2 linked regions of the Arabidopsis thaliana genome follow. The protein of the gene in region 2 interacts with the protein of the main gene of each other region in a pairwise test. Each region holds a gene or a part of one and is shown on either strand. Other genes may lie near its edges.

Region 1 (7,989 bases), 2.6 Mb from region 2:
TATATCACCTTTTATAGTCACTCGAAAGATGTTTCATTCTTGCTGTAACTTGTCATGGATATTGTTCTTCCCTTGATAGGAAACTTGCTGACAAGGTTGCAGAAGCTGGATTCTACGCGGTGGTTCCTGATTTCTTCCATGGAGATCCTTATAATCCCGAGAACCAGGATCGTCCGTTTCCTATTTGGATGAAAGATCATGAACTAGTTAGTTTCTTTTCCTTATTAAATGTTCAATCCTCAATTTTTCTCAAAAACATAAATGAGTCTTTGTTTCCCAGCATGAAATAGTCCAAGTATCCCAATAATCCCTTATTATTAGTGCCAAAATGCTATCACTACTTATTGTTGATTGCAAAGCTAAGATTAAGTCAGTGTTTTTGTACTGTTCTGTGTCAATGTATCTGAAACCAGACTATGGATTTTGTAGGAGAAAGGGTTTGAGGAGTCAAAGCCAATAGTGGAGGCCTTGAAGAACAAAGGCATAACTAGTATAGGAGCAGCAGGGTTCTGTTGGGGTGGTGAGTTCGGTTTTCTTGTTCCCATCATCACCACAGTTTTATGAAAATGTTTTCCATGATCTGTATAATAAGTCAACCATGTATATTAGTTAACACAAGACTTTTTGTTTCTTATTCTTTAGCAAAAGTTGCGGTGGAACTAGCTAAGGAAAAGCTTGTTGACGCTACTGTTTTGTTACATCCTGCTCGCGTTACGGTGGATGATATCAAGGGTATTTAGATCTTTGATATGGCCACTCCTTACTTGATAGTTCTCTCTCATTTGTTGTGATTATGACTCTCACTATATGATTGAAGCAGAGGTCAACCTTCCAATTGCTGTATTAGGAGCTGAAATCGATCAAGTGTCTCCTCCAGAACTTGTGAGGCAGTTCGAAGATATTTTAGCTTCTAAACCTCAGGTACTTTGCTTAGCTCTATGTCTTTATGCAAGGTAATATTTTCATTACTTACAAAAACACAACTAGTAGTTGATGTGTTTTTGGAAGTAGATATCTTCTTCAAGTAGATAATTGTGAGCAAAGTGATATGTTTCAGGTGAAGAGTTTTGTGAAGATATTCCCAAGATGCAAACACGGTTGGACTGTTAGATACAATGAAAATGATCCATCAGAAGTTGAAGCTGCAATGGAAGCTCACAAGGACATGCTCGCTTGGCTCATCGACTATCTCAAGTGAGAACTTGAAACGGTCTAAGCTTTGGTTTGCACATAACCAGCGGAGACCCAAAATCATGTCTAGTACTCTTTAAATAATAAATGTAACTAGTAGTATCTTCTTTAATTTATGTTGCTTTGTCATGTTTGTGGCTAGTGTTCTCTGTTTCGTTTCAGTCTGAGAAACATCAGTTTGAGTTAAACTTAAGACGTTCTAGAAATATCTTAATGTTCCTTTGGACCTTAAGCCTATTTATGTTGTTGATATTGAAATAAAGACATCCCCAAATTCAGCTATATAAATCTTTCTAAATTGATTTTTCTCTATGACTAATGAATTAGCTCTACTTTAAAATTCATCTGCATTACGATTTTTTTTGTTTTTTGAAAAATCGACCTCTTAGTAAATCATAAAACCTTGACAAAATTAGCAATTCTCAACTAATGTTTAACAGATAGTTGTTAGTTTCACCAGCTTCTGTTTAATTATTAATTTGATGATTAAAAATAATTTTTTTTTCTAAATATGGATTCTTGTATTGATATTTCAGATAATTATCTGTCTTTGTTGGTTCTAGTTGATAAGTAACCATGGTTCAGAAAAAAACAAGAAGATGAGTAACCATGAATCTGACTAGAATTGGATCCTAGTACTGGAGATGAGCTGTAGAATCAGATAAAAATTGTAAACAAACTCTCTTCCAAAAAAACAGAATCAGATCAATGAAATAAACGAGGCATGTTTGTGAGATGGAAACTTCTTCAATCTTATGGCATCAGAGTCCTCGATTTCACGAATCAGATACAAACATAAATATTTGCTCAGAGGGTACCATATCTGAACTCTGAGTTTGAGTATGGAAAACGTTCTTAAATCTAAAAGTTCTCCTATAGATTTGGTAACTAGGTGACGACGTCTTTACGATACTCTCTCTAAATGTGACTATACAACTAATGAAAACTTGTAAAAAAAAAAAAAAACTCAAATACAAATTTTCATTAGTTTTACTTTTGTATTTTAATACCAATCCTATGCATGTCTTGAAACAGGTGAATTGTTGTAATATAGAAATATTTCTTAATTGATGAAGTTTTGTTATTCACAATTTTAACGATAAGTTAAGTCCAATGTTCAAAGTTTCCTGAGGTGGTAATCGGGTGGTCATGACTCATGAGCTGCCTGATTATAGTACATTGCAAATTTAATTGGTTGACTTTTTAAGTCATCATTTTGTTTTAAGATTATTGATTCTGATCCAAAAATAATTAGTCTGAGGATGTAATAAATTGAATCTTTTTTGGCATAATTAAAAAATGTATTTATATTGCATTATAATGTGGCAGTAAATGGCAGAGAGGCCTCTTGTGTTGGTATTTAATATCCTGTTTCTGCGTACATCTCTTATTTAATTCCTCACCTTGCCAAATCACAATTCTCCTCTTCAAGTCTTAACCAAACCCAAAGTCCTTCAACAAGAAAATCCAATGGCTGATCCGGCAACGAGTTCTCCGTTGTTGGATGACCATGTAGGTGGAGAAGATGAAAGAGGAAGGAGATCAAGATCATCAACTTTGGTTCAAAAAGTGATCGACGTGGAAGAAGCAAAAGCTCAAATGATTTACTCTTTGCCAATGATACTCACCAATGTTTTCTACTACTGTATTCCTATAACTTCTGTGATGTTTGCTTCTCACCTCGGTCAACTCGAGCTCGCCGGTGCCACCCTTGCCAATTCTTGGGCCACCGTCTCCGGTTTTGCCTTCATGGTACCATTATTTCCTTATTTCTTTAGCTTTTGTAATTTAAAATCTTGTTTTGATGTCTACTTGCAAAAGTTACTAAAACCCACTTATTTCCATCTCAATAATAGACTCGAACTCGAATTCAAGAATCAAGATTGTTTAAAATGATTTATTCGACATAAATGACTAGTAGATGATTTTAGGAGTTGTCTAAATTTTTATTAACGACATCTTCAAGAACATTTGGCCAACGGTATATATGTATAAGTGCTTGTTTATGACATACATTAATGTCTCTTTGTTTTCAGGTAGGGTTAAGTGGATCACTTGAGACATTATGTGGACAAGGCTTTGGTGCAAAAAGATACAGGATGTTGGGAGTTCATCTACAATCATCTTGCATCGTTTCATTAGTTTTCAGCATCCTCATCACCATCTTCTGGTTCTTCACAGAATCGATTTTTGGACTTCTCAGACAAGATCCTAGCATTTCAAAACAAGCTGCACTCTATATGAAGTACCAAGCTCCCGGTTTACTAGCTTACGGGTTTTTACAAAATATTTTGAGATTTTGCCAAACACAATCGATCATTGCTCCACTAGTCATCTTCTCGTTTGTTCCCTTGGTGATAAACATTGCTACCGCATATGTTCTTGTTTATGTAGCTGGGCTTGGATTCATTGGTGCTCCAATAGCTACATCTATTTCATTGTGGATAGCTTTCCTTTCGCTTGGAACTTATGTGATGTGTTCAGAAAAGTTTAAGGAAACATGGACTGGATTTTCGTTGGAATCATTCCGTTATATCGTAATAAACTTGACATTAAGCCTCCCTTCTGCTGCTATGGTATGGTAAGTATATATGTTTCTTGACCGTTATATCTAGCCTAGTGGTTTATATTAGTCAATGTAATCATACCCGGGGTCAAAACCAAATAGTACATGTTGACAAAAAGAAAAAAAAATATCATTAGGCTTGTTGAAGCTTAAGAGACTATATTGTTGCAACAGTTTGGAATATTGGGCATTCGAGATTCTTGTGTTCTTGGCAGGAGTGATGCCAAACCCGGAAATCAATACTTCTTTGGTCGCTATATGGTAAAAAATATATATTTTTAATATCACTTTTTTGGTAGTTAATGTTTTTTTTATCTATTATATCAAATTTCTCAATGTGTGTTATGTTAAATAAATTCAGCGTCAACACGGAGGCGATTAGCTACATGTTAACATACGGACTTAGTGCAGCTGCAAGGTTTGCTCATTTTACTAGATAGTTTCAAAATACTTTGTATTCCATCTTGCTGAAAAATATTGTTTCGGAAATGTAAAAATCGAAAATAAATATTGCAGTACGCGTGTGTCCAATGAACTTGGAGCAGGAAATGTAAAAGGCGCAAAGAAGGCGACCTCTGTGTCCGTAAAGTTGTCTTTAGTTCTTGCTCTCGGCGTTGTAATTGTTTTACTCGTAGGTCATGATGGTTGGGTTGGGTTATTTAGCGATAGCTATGTGATTAAAGAGGAGTTTGCATCATTGAGGTTTTTTCTTGCTGCCTCTATAACTCTTGATTCAATCCAAGGAGTTTTATCAGGTAAAAGATCCAATATATATTTTTTTTTTTTACTCATCTAGGGTGGTAAAAATCATTGTTAAATTTATTTACAGGAGTTGCAAGAGGATGCGGATGGCAGCGTTTAGTCACGGTTATAAATTTGGCGACATTCTACTTAATTGGAATGCCGATTGCCGCCTTTTGTGGTTTCAAGTTGAAGTTTTATGCCAAGGTATTGCTTGATTCTATAATAAGATTAGTAAATTTTGTTTGATTATGTTATGTTTGATTCATTATTTTGATGGCGACAGGGTTTGTGGATTGGTTTGATATGTGGAATATTTTGCCAATCATCATCTCTTTTGCTTATGACAATATTCCGGAAGTGGACAAAGCTGAATGTTGCTACGGTCTGAAAACTCTAGTTACGTTCCATTTTTCTACGGAGGCACATTTATTTTCTTAAGCAGATATGGAATCAGTTATCAAGATATATATTTGGAACTCATGATCATTTTCCAAACGCTTAGTTAAGATTTATCTTTCTTAGTTTTCTTTTTATTCTTTTGGAGTGTAAGGGAAATAATCTGGTTCACAAAGTTGGTCATGGCTTGAATATTACAGCATCATTCTAAGCTATCTTTGAAACCAACTTCTTCTTAGTTGCGTTCTTCAATTTACTAGACTAGTTTCGTTATCGTCAGCAAGAAACTTTTCTCATTTTCTATTTCTTTAATTCCTCGTCGTTTTACTATTTTTGGCGATTTTTTTGGCATATTGTGCTAAAATCAGAAATTTTGATGCTTTCTATGTAAACTTATTTCTCTTGCTTAGTTACACACGTCTGGTCTGGTGTCTCCATATTATCCTGTTTGCTTTCTGGCAATGAGCTAGCTTAAATATGAGATCTTTGTCCACACGTTTTCTCAAAATAATAGCTTTTCTGGCCATTAATTTTGATAGAATCTATCTCGTCTCTTCGAAATAATGATTTTCTATCTATCTCGATAGGATTGAATCTTCATTTAAACCATCAATTAGTAGAATGCTCAGACAACTTTCTGGCCAGATTAGTCAGACAACGTGTGTTTGGACTCTCCTATCATGTTAAGTTTCATGGGATTCCAACTCAAAACCAATTGGTAATTAATGAATTATCCAATGTCTTTTATATACTACTCAAATCTTCTCTCATCTTTATGATGTGTGATCATTCTCCACAAGATTAAGTTTGATCATACAGTTCATTTAGGCTTTTCCATGTCCTAAAGGAGGTTATGGCCGTTATGAATTTACTTAACACAAATCTAATAAGTTTTCCATTATTTAGCCATGAGGCGATGCTAGGATGATTAGTAAGCCTATTACATAATCTTATTTTCAGATAGAGTTTAACATAATTAGGTGATTGACTTGAATAGAATCTACGAATGCCATCAATTGATTTACTTGACACTGTTTCCATAGAAGTTTAACATAAAACAGTGTCATGAAACTTAAGTAGTTGTTATTTGGTGGGCTAAGGAATAGAATCTAGGATTGTGCTTAATTAAACCTCGTTATGTCACATGGTTCGATCTCATCTATTGTTTTGCTATGTTGAACTTTCGTGATACAAATCTTTCTAATTTTGAACTGAACTTCAATTCCTAATTAAACTCGTTTTTTTGTGTTTCATTTATTCGTTAATGTTAGTCGTCTTTTGTGTTTCATTTATTCGGTCATGTTAGTCTTTCCCTAATATAGTGTAAATTCCTAGTTTAACAATAGTTTCACTATAGCACAATGGTTAAATTCATCTTGATTGATAACTTTCCTAAATTTGAAATCCACAAACCAAATTCATTGCCTATCAAAAGAATTCGTCTCTCATATTCGATCTGTGGCATAAGAAAACTTTTTTAAAAAGAAATATGTAATTATTTGTGTAAAAATATATACAGTGTAAATTCATTGCTTATCAAAAACATCCGTTGTAGTACAAGGGTTTAATTCATCTTGATTGCTGTTTCTCTAGTTTAATCGATTGATCGCTTTCTAGGTTTGAATCCTGGCAGCGGAAACTTTTTTAATTTATCTGTTGTTATTTGTGTAAATATATATACAGTGTAAATTCATTGCTTATCAAAAGATCCGCTGTAACACAAGGATTTAATTTATCTCGATTGTTGTTTCTCCGGTTTAATTGATTGATGGCTTTCCGGATTTGAAAAGTTTCCGGGATCGAATTTCGGCACTAGAAAACTTTTTTTAGTTTTTTTTTGTAATTATGGGTTTCAATAGATAGATATACAATATATAGTTTAAATTCATAATTTATAATTCTCCCCTTACAAAAGATTAAAATTTGGATTACATTTGAGAATAAAGGGGAGAAGCAACATAGCATGTAGCGGAATGGATCAAGCTAAAAGACGTTTAAGGGAGAACACAAGTTTATGAGACTCCTAGATCTCACATCGTTCACCCTGACCCACATCGACCTTGTGATGGTCCCATGCAAGAAAATGGCAAATCACACGTCGATTCTTACATCGGGCAGAGGTAGATCAAAGCGGGAAAGTTGAAGAATCATGCAAGTATCAGATTGGCCTCCACATCGACATAGGCAATGTCATCCCACAAATTTTGAAGTGCCAGCATGGTTTAAACTTGTTTTTGAGGATTTTTAATATAAGTTTGAGTTTTCTCTAATTTGTATAGAGACTCAAGAGCCTTGTTCTACATTTCGTTAATGAAGATGTCATATTTTCATCAAACTAGTGAAGATTTTCTCATCTTGATACATCTCTTCTCTTAAATTATGTTTATGCCTCCATTTACCTTTGCTTTTTTGCTTCTTTAGTTCAGTCTTGTTATCAAAGTTTTGAAGATTAAACTAGCTAGGATTAATAATGAATACATCAATGATGTTGATTATGGGAGAATCTTGCTAGATTCTTTAGTCAAAAGAATTGGAGTTCTTAGACTCTCATAGGAAGGGAAGATCTTCCCCACCATTCCTTACACGCAACGTGAGTTATCTAGAATTTAGCTTCTACCTGCTCTTGAGTCTTAGCAAGTCAAAGATTAGTAGCAGCAGTGCAGCACACTATTAACAATTACATCAACCATCAGCGTCAGAAGACAATTTAACCAGACTAATATTCTCTAAAATGTTAGCCGTTTATTTTGAATTTTTTGATGGCCGGAAACTAACTCTTTACTACTTGATGGTAGTAGGGTTGGCTTACTTGGTGGGAGCTACAATGGTTCCGCAGCCGGCCCCAACTCTTGAACTCTAGGAGTTTTTTTTGTTCTTCCATTATATTGTTTTCTTTCTTTTTTTTCGAAAAAAACTCTTCCATTATAATGTCGGTTTTTTTTTTATTTGGATAATGGCACAACCATATCATTACTGTAAACCAATCCGGTAAAAAAAAAATAGAATTTAAACAATTATAAATAAAATTTGGTAATGGTAGGATCAGCCATTATGGTCATCTTTGGACGTGGGATCAGCCATTGTAATGTCTA
Region 2 (6,457 bases):
CTTTGGTCTCCCTCCATTTTTGTATATTTGATTTGATATTTAAAGTTTTTTGCATATTGATTAGAAAATTATTTAATTTTTGTTTATTTATAAACTAAAACATTATTTATCATCTACCTAAACACAATTCAACCAATAGTAAAACAATCTGCATTATAAAAATATTCAAAACCAAGAAAATTTTTTACTTTTTGCATTGAAAGTGGAAAACATCATCTATTTTAAAAGAATTTTTCGTCTAAAACATCAAATAGATAAAAATGGAGGGGTATATTAAATGTCATTAACTCTCATGTACTAGTAACTTAAAACCAATAAATGAATAAACCAAATTCGATATGATTTTTTCACTCTGTATGATTGATTGTAGCCCTAATTGATTGTGTTCAGTTTGCTTCAAATTTTTGGGAATGATTCGTTTCCTTTAAATATGTACTATGTTTGTCATAAAAAACTTACGAAAACGATAGTTGAATAGTACGTACGACAAACAATACTCAAAAGAAGATATAAAACACTGTTTGGAATGCGGACACTCATCCATAGAATTCCTATGTTTAGATTTGGGAGTTTTGTTTTGCACAAAAAATAAAAAGAAAGTTTTGGGAGTTTTGTATGATATAATATATATTTAATAACCCAAGATTTTGAAATCTTTTCAAAAACAAAACTCCTGAAAGTGTAAGATTTTCTTGTAACCCCAAGTCAAAAGTCAAAGATATTTTTCTTAACTTAATCAATCGAATAACAACGGTGGATTGCGAATTATATTGAACTAAAGAAGAAGGTGTTTAATTAGAGTCAACAATTGACTAAGAAAAACAAATTTGGGTAACATTTCATCAACAACACCAAGCTAAAACTTGACTTTTGTCGTCCAAAAACTATGTATATTAATATTAGTATGCAGTAAGAACCTCCCAGACTCTCAAGTATACGCATAATTATCTTTCCGCAGCCAAGACAATGGCTTATCCTTGCGTCAAAAGAAACGTATTTTCACTTCTTCCTCTACTCCTTCTTCTATCAATCACCCCTTTGTCTTCATCTTTGTCTCCGAGTGACAAAGTCACAAAAACCTTCTTATCCCGACTCTGCACAGAACCGCACATTGACACCAACTTCTGCATCACTTGGCTAATCTCTGATCCAACAACATATACCCTCGACCTACAAGGTCTTCTCGATTTAGTCTTCCAAAAGACGCAATTATTGGGCAATAAGAACCTAGCGGCGATGAAAGGCTCAGTGAATACCACGACTGATCCGACGCTCAAGATCCCATTTGAGACTTGCGTGAGAGATTATGAAGGAGCCATTAAAGCGATCGAGGAAGCTCAAGGGTTTGTGACCTCTAAGGCGTACCCGTTAGCATCTCAAGGGGCTGCTAAAGCCTTCATTAGTATATCAGTGTGTGAAGCTCAGTTTGCAGGAAATGTGCCGGCTTATGTAGCAAAACTCAATTTGTTTTTTAAGAGAATGTGTAATATTGATAGGGTTTTCTCCGACGTTTTGACTTCTTGATTCTTTATGTATCTTTCACCTGCAAGAAGGCAGAAACTACTAAATGTCATTCACGCTGATGTACTAGTAACTTAAAGACCAATAAATGAATATATTCATAGTCAAAATTACCGTGTCTTGCATCTCAGCTAAGACTTTAATCTCTCGTTACTTCTGGTGTATATTTATGACAATTATCTCCATAGAACCTCTTCCTACAGTAATCTTTCTTAGCACCAACAAATCATGAACACATATTAGTGAATGCATATCTACCTAAAGAAGAGAAGTCAGGAAAGTAAGTTAGACGAATACTAATCAGATAACTGTCTCTGCACTAATGCTAAGAATAGCAAAGTTTTCTCTCTCTCTTACATAAGGACTTGTGGTCTAACTAAGAATCAGAAAGAGTAACAACCCATTTCTATTATTAGTTCTAGTGGAAGCAATCAATCGCATGCATCTATAAATATGAATAGTCAGGCATAGTAAGGGAATAACTTAACCATCATCTACCAACGAACATAAGAAAGAAAGAAGCAAAGATGGCAGCATACCTGACGAACAGAGTTTTAATGTCTTCTCTGATGTTTTTTGTAATGACTGGTTCTTTGAACGCACAAGTGGCAGACATAAAAGCGATATGTGGAAAAGCGAAAAACCAATCCTTCTGTACGAGCTACATGAAATCCAACCCAAAGACCTCAGGTGCTGATCTTCAAACGCTTGCAAATATCACATTTGGTTCTGCACAAACAAGTGCATCAGAAGGTTTCAGGAAAATTCAATCTCTAGTCAAGACAGCAACCAACCCCACTATGAAGAAAGCATACACCTCATGTGTACAACATTATAAGAGTGCAATAAGCAGTCTCAATGATGCTAAGCAGAGCCTGGCGTCAGGCGATGGCAAAGGGTTGAACATTAAGGTTTCAGCAGCTATGGAAGGACCTTCAACATGTGAACAAGACATGGCGGATTTCAAAGTTGATCCTTCAGCTGTGAAGAACAGTGGTGATTTTCAGAATATTTGTGGCATTGTACTTGTCATCTCAAACATGATGTGAGAGTGGGATTGATTCAATCTCCCTTCATCATACTCATTAGACGATTACATTAAACAGTAATGCATAAATGTTACATATATAATCAAAGAACTTTTTTTCTCCAACCCACACATCAACAAGAACCTGGTTTCTTTTCAACTTGTTATTCCATATAACTCAACTCTATTGATAAAAGAAACTAAGAGACAACAACTAGTAATAGACTTATAACAAAGAGGAGTCTGAAATCAAACACTCTTAATAAACTCATGATCTTTTTACAGATCAAGTATAATACAACAGAAGGAAACAAACAAACAAACAAAAAAGAGAGAAATTCACAGAGAAACATGAGAACAATGCAGGAAAACTCAAAAGGAATATACTTTATTCAACATACAAGATGCATACCCGAGAAAAAGATCAATGATGAAAATGCTGCTACAAGATAATTAGAGAGAGACAGAGGTAGGCTTGTAGTCAATAACCAAAACTTTATCCAAGCTGCCAAGGAAGATGGTGGCGAATTCAACGTGAGCAGGATGAGCAATGTACTCTGCAACAGCTTCTTTACTCTCAAATGTGGATTCAAAGATGTGTGTGTAACCTTGATGCAGATTCTCAATGCTCACATCTTTTCCCCTAAAATTATACAGATCCAATAATTCAATAAGACAAGAGCAGATTCGTCGATTTAGTTGATTTAACTTTTCAAAAGATCATCAATGGAGATGGATTCTCTCTGAGGGAAATTAGATCAACACTAGGAAGGTCATGAATTTCCCCAAATTGCTTAGTTTTACATAATCATATTGAGTTGATGGAAGTGTTTTTCGGATCTCGAGCATATGTCTAACACTAGGAAGCAATTCAGAATCCAAATTTACTAACCAGTGGAAAGCTTTCATAGGTTCGATGAGATTGACGAGATTGGCGTAACCTTTGATGAGCTCTTCGATTTTCTCAGGACTAACCCCATCTTTGAAACTAGCAAGCAATACGTGCTTCACAGGTCCCTTTGCTTCCTCCATTTTTGATCCTTATCCCCTGCGAATGCAAATCTCCACTATTCCACTTATCAGCTCTCTAAAGTCTTAACTAAAAATGGACGGTCGAGATCTTTGATTAAAAGAGCGGATTTGCGACGTGCAAATACGATCGTCGGATTATTGTTTTCGTTCCAAAAAATTAAATAAAACGTCCTCAGATATAAACATTACCAGATGCTCCTGGTATACTCTGTATTGAATCTTCTTCTTTTTTTTTTCTTTTCTGTGCAAATTGAATTGAAGCTTTTTTAATTTATAAAGTGTTTGTAACAATTATGTTTACTTGATTAATCATGATAAGTGCGACAAAAAATGTATATAGAGATATTCTTACCACGGTGATAATAGAGTTGGACTGTCCAGCCGCACTTAACGCCGTTTTGCAGCCGTCCAAATAGCCTTTCTATAGAAATTGGTTAACACAAATCCATGAGATTGTTAGTGCATTTGAATCTTGTACATTCCGTCATATTGCCACAAACGCAAATCTGATCGCGCGTTCCATTTCTTGGGAGTGTGATTCAAGACAGAAGGTTTCAGTCTAAGTTTTACTTAGCACTTGGAGAGCCTTCATGACTTCACAATCAAGTGTCTAAGGAAAGTAAAGTTTAAATTTCATTTTGTATTTCTCGTTATTTTTCTGTCATTTTGTTTCTGTTTTAATAATTATCATATGACAAAAAAAAAAAAAAAAGGATATTCTTACCACTAAGTCACTAAAATGCATCTTTTTATAGAAGATATATGGTATGATGCAAATAAGTATCAAAATAATCATCTATGTTCTGTGTAACATGCATTAATTAAGCAAAATAATTTACAGCATTTAAGTTCCTCTTGAGACCAGTCTTATTTACCATTTCTTTTATTGAATTTTTAACCCAAGACTAACTCTCAGGAGCTTCCAAATAAAGACTTCCCTGTAATCACTTTTTTTTTTTTGTCACACTTTTTGAAAGCGAATACCCGAGAGCTGCAAATGAAACCCATTAGTCAAGTAATCTCTACTACATGTTCTCCTTCTAGATCCGTCTCTTAGATGCTTAGAGCCAACAAGCCTGCCTCAGTCTACAGGTTACCCGGTTTATACCATAACGAGGAATGCTAGAAAAAAGGGTGTCAATTTGGGGCCATTGAAGTCTGTGTTTAAGGCAGGAAGCTATTCCATCAGCTCAGATCAAAACCCGCTTCTGCGCTTATGGCGTACATCAATTTGGTCTCAAGTAGCTCTTTGCTGCATCATTAACAACAAGACATGCTTTATTTGCTTTTTCCAATTACAACACCAAGAGAAGCTATTTGGCAACAAAACAAGTCTCTTAGCTAAGCAAAACCAAAGAGTTTGTGTTATGAGAGGACAAACCTTTGATAGGGCGGAAGCTTAAGAAGATTCATACAAGTGGCTGATGTCGGTAGTCTATCAACTGATTCATTACTCGCACTACCGGCAGCCCTGATACACATTCCATCGAGGATGGATATTTTATGATTCTATTGTCCAGGGCCCATCAAAAGTCAAAACGATTGTGAGTCTGTGTATATTACCTCTGTATGCAGAATGCAGGTTCCAAGTATTTGAAACCCAGCAGTGGTCCTCGTGAGCAGCCTGTCACAAACCTGAAATTGAAAAATAGAGGTACCTCTTAGTTCCCTTAGAAAATTCATAGACTCCGGTAAATCATTGCGTACACAGACTGTAGTAGTAACTGCAAAGTTTGCTTACTTTAAGAACTTCTTCTGGTTTTCAGTTGAGAAGCTTTTCATAACTTCCCAGAACATATCGATCACATAATGTCCCTGTCAAGTGTCAACAACATAGCGATATAATCATATATAACAATACTCCAAAAGTGTCCCTACACTAATTCACAATGGCATTTCGGCTAACAGTGAAGAACCACTCACCGCGTGGTAGCCTCCAGCATAATTAGTGTTGTTTCGCAAGTCGTCTATATCCAAACTATCAACTGAACCAGATATGAGAACCTGCAACCAAAGCCCACAAAGGTAAAATTTCTCTCTTCATGCTCCTCGAGGGAACAACTAACAAAGCAAGTATAATTATACACTTAATTGGCACCTGAAGCTCATGTTCATTGAACATGTCGATCCATTCTTTCGGAATGAGTTGCTGAAACCCCCTCAAGAAATGAGAACTCTGCTGGCGTATCTGCAAATGAGATGATATCAATAGCTGTTGATTTACAGGGTGACCTCAGGTATGCCAAGATAAATGAGAGGTAAGTGGTTCCCCAGTACCTGAAAATTTAACCGATGATTGGAAACCAGATGAATGAAAGTTATAACATTCTCATTTGTAACTCGCATGTCTTGGCCCCCTGGAAGTAGCTCTTCCTCTGTCCTCTCTCCATATTCATTATTCAAAATAACAAAGTAAAGCTCCAAGTCTGAGATATCACCCTTATAACGCTGCAAATATCATAATGAATACATAAAAAGGTGTATAAAGCTAAGAAGCAAAAAAAAAAAAAAAAAAAAGAGCCAAAATTATCGTAGGTAGGTAAACAAACAAATTTCAGTTTCGAAACAAAAACAAACAAACAGATTTCAGCATTCTCGCACATCTATGCTAGCAACTATCTCCCCGTTCTACAAAGCAACAATTAAATAGAATGTTCAGCAAAACTCACCTTCAGAAATATAAGGTGCCTATACAACTCAGGATCCAGAGAAGGCAAATCGTTCAAATAGTTGTACCTAGCCAAAGAACAATAGAAGTTTCACAACATGTTCAAAAAGTCTATGCGGGCTTAAAAAACGAATGAAGTGACAGGAAATTGAGGTAGAAATTAAATTTACATACTTTTGTTTCAGTTTGCTGAGGAAAAACGTTGCAAA

Evidence for each region.
Region 1: the proteins of HS1 (region 2) and ALF5 interact in a protein complementation assay, tested with the Arabidopsis thaliana proteins (one large-scale study listed by BioGRID).

The regions. Positions count from the first base shown.
Region 1 is NC_003074.8:8,451,261-8,459,249, reverse strand, and holds ALF5 (MATE efflux family protein), read left to right. Parts: upstream 1-2,541; 5' UTR 2,542-2,661; coding exon 2,662-2,943; intron 2,944-3,227; coding exon 3,228-3,772; intron 3,773-3,931; coding exon 3,932-4,018; intron 4,019-4,118; coding exon 4,119-4,175; intron 4,176-4,273; coding exon 4,274-4,512; coding exon of another isoform or gene 4,513-4,553; exon of another isoform or gene 4,554-4,586; coding exon 4,587-4,705; intron 4,706-4,784; coding exon 4,785-4,889; 3' UTR 4,890-5,347; downstream 5,348-7,989. Other genes in the region: AT3G23570 (alpha/beta-Hydrolases superfamily protein), read left to right, coding at 80-206, 430-520, 643-732, 821-921, 1,058-1,198.
Region 2 is NC_003074.8:5,879,441-5,885,897, reverse strand, and holds HS1 (heat stable protein 1), read right to left. Parts: upstream 3,980-6,457; 5' UTR 3,933-3,979; intron 3,834-3,932; exon of another isoform or gene 3,822-3,833; 5' UTR 3,581-3,821; coding exon 3,441-3,580; intron 3,192-3,440; coding exon 3,002-3,191; 3' UTR 2,698-3,001; downstream 1-2,697. Other genes in the region: AT3G17225 (Plant invertase/pectin methylesterase inhibitor superfamily protein), read left to right, coding at 967-1,524; PMEI2 (pectin methylesterase inhibitor 2), read left to right, coding at 2,049-2,570; UPL6 (ubiquitin protein ligase 6), read right to left, coding at 4,766-4,832, 4,962-5,051, 5,144-5,215, 5,322-5,395, 5,504-5,584, 5,679-5,768, 5,858-6,028, 6,250-6,316 and 1 more.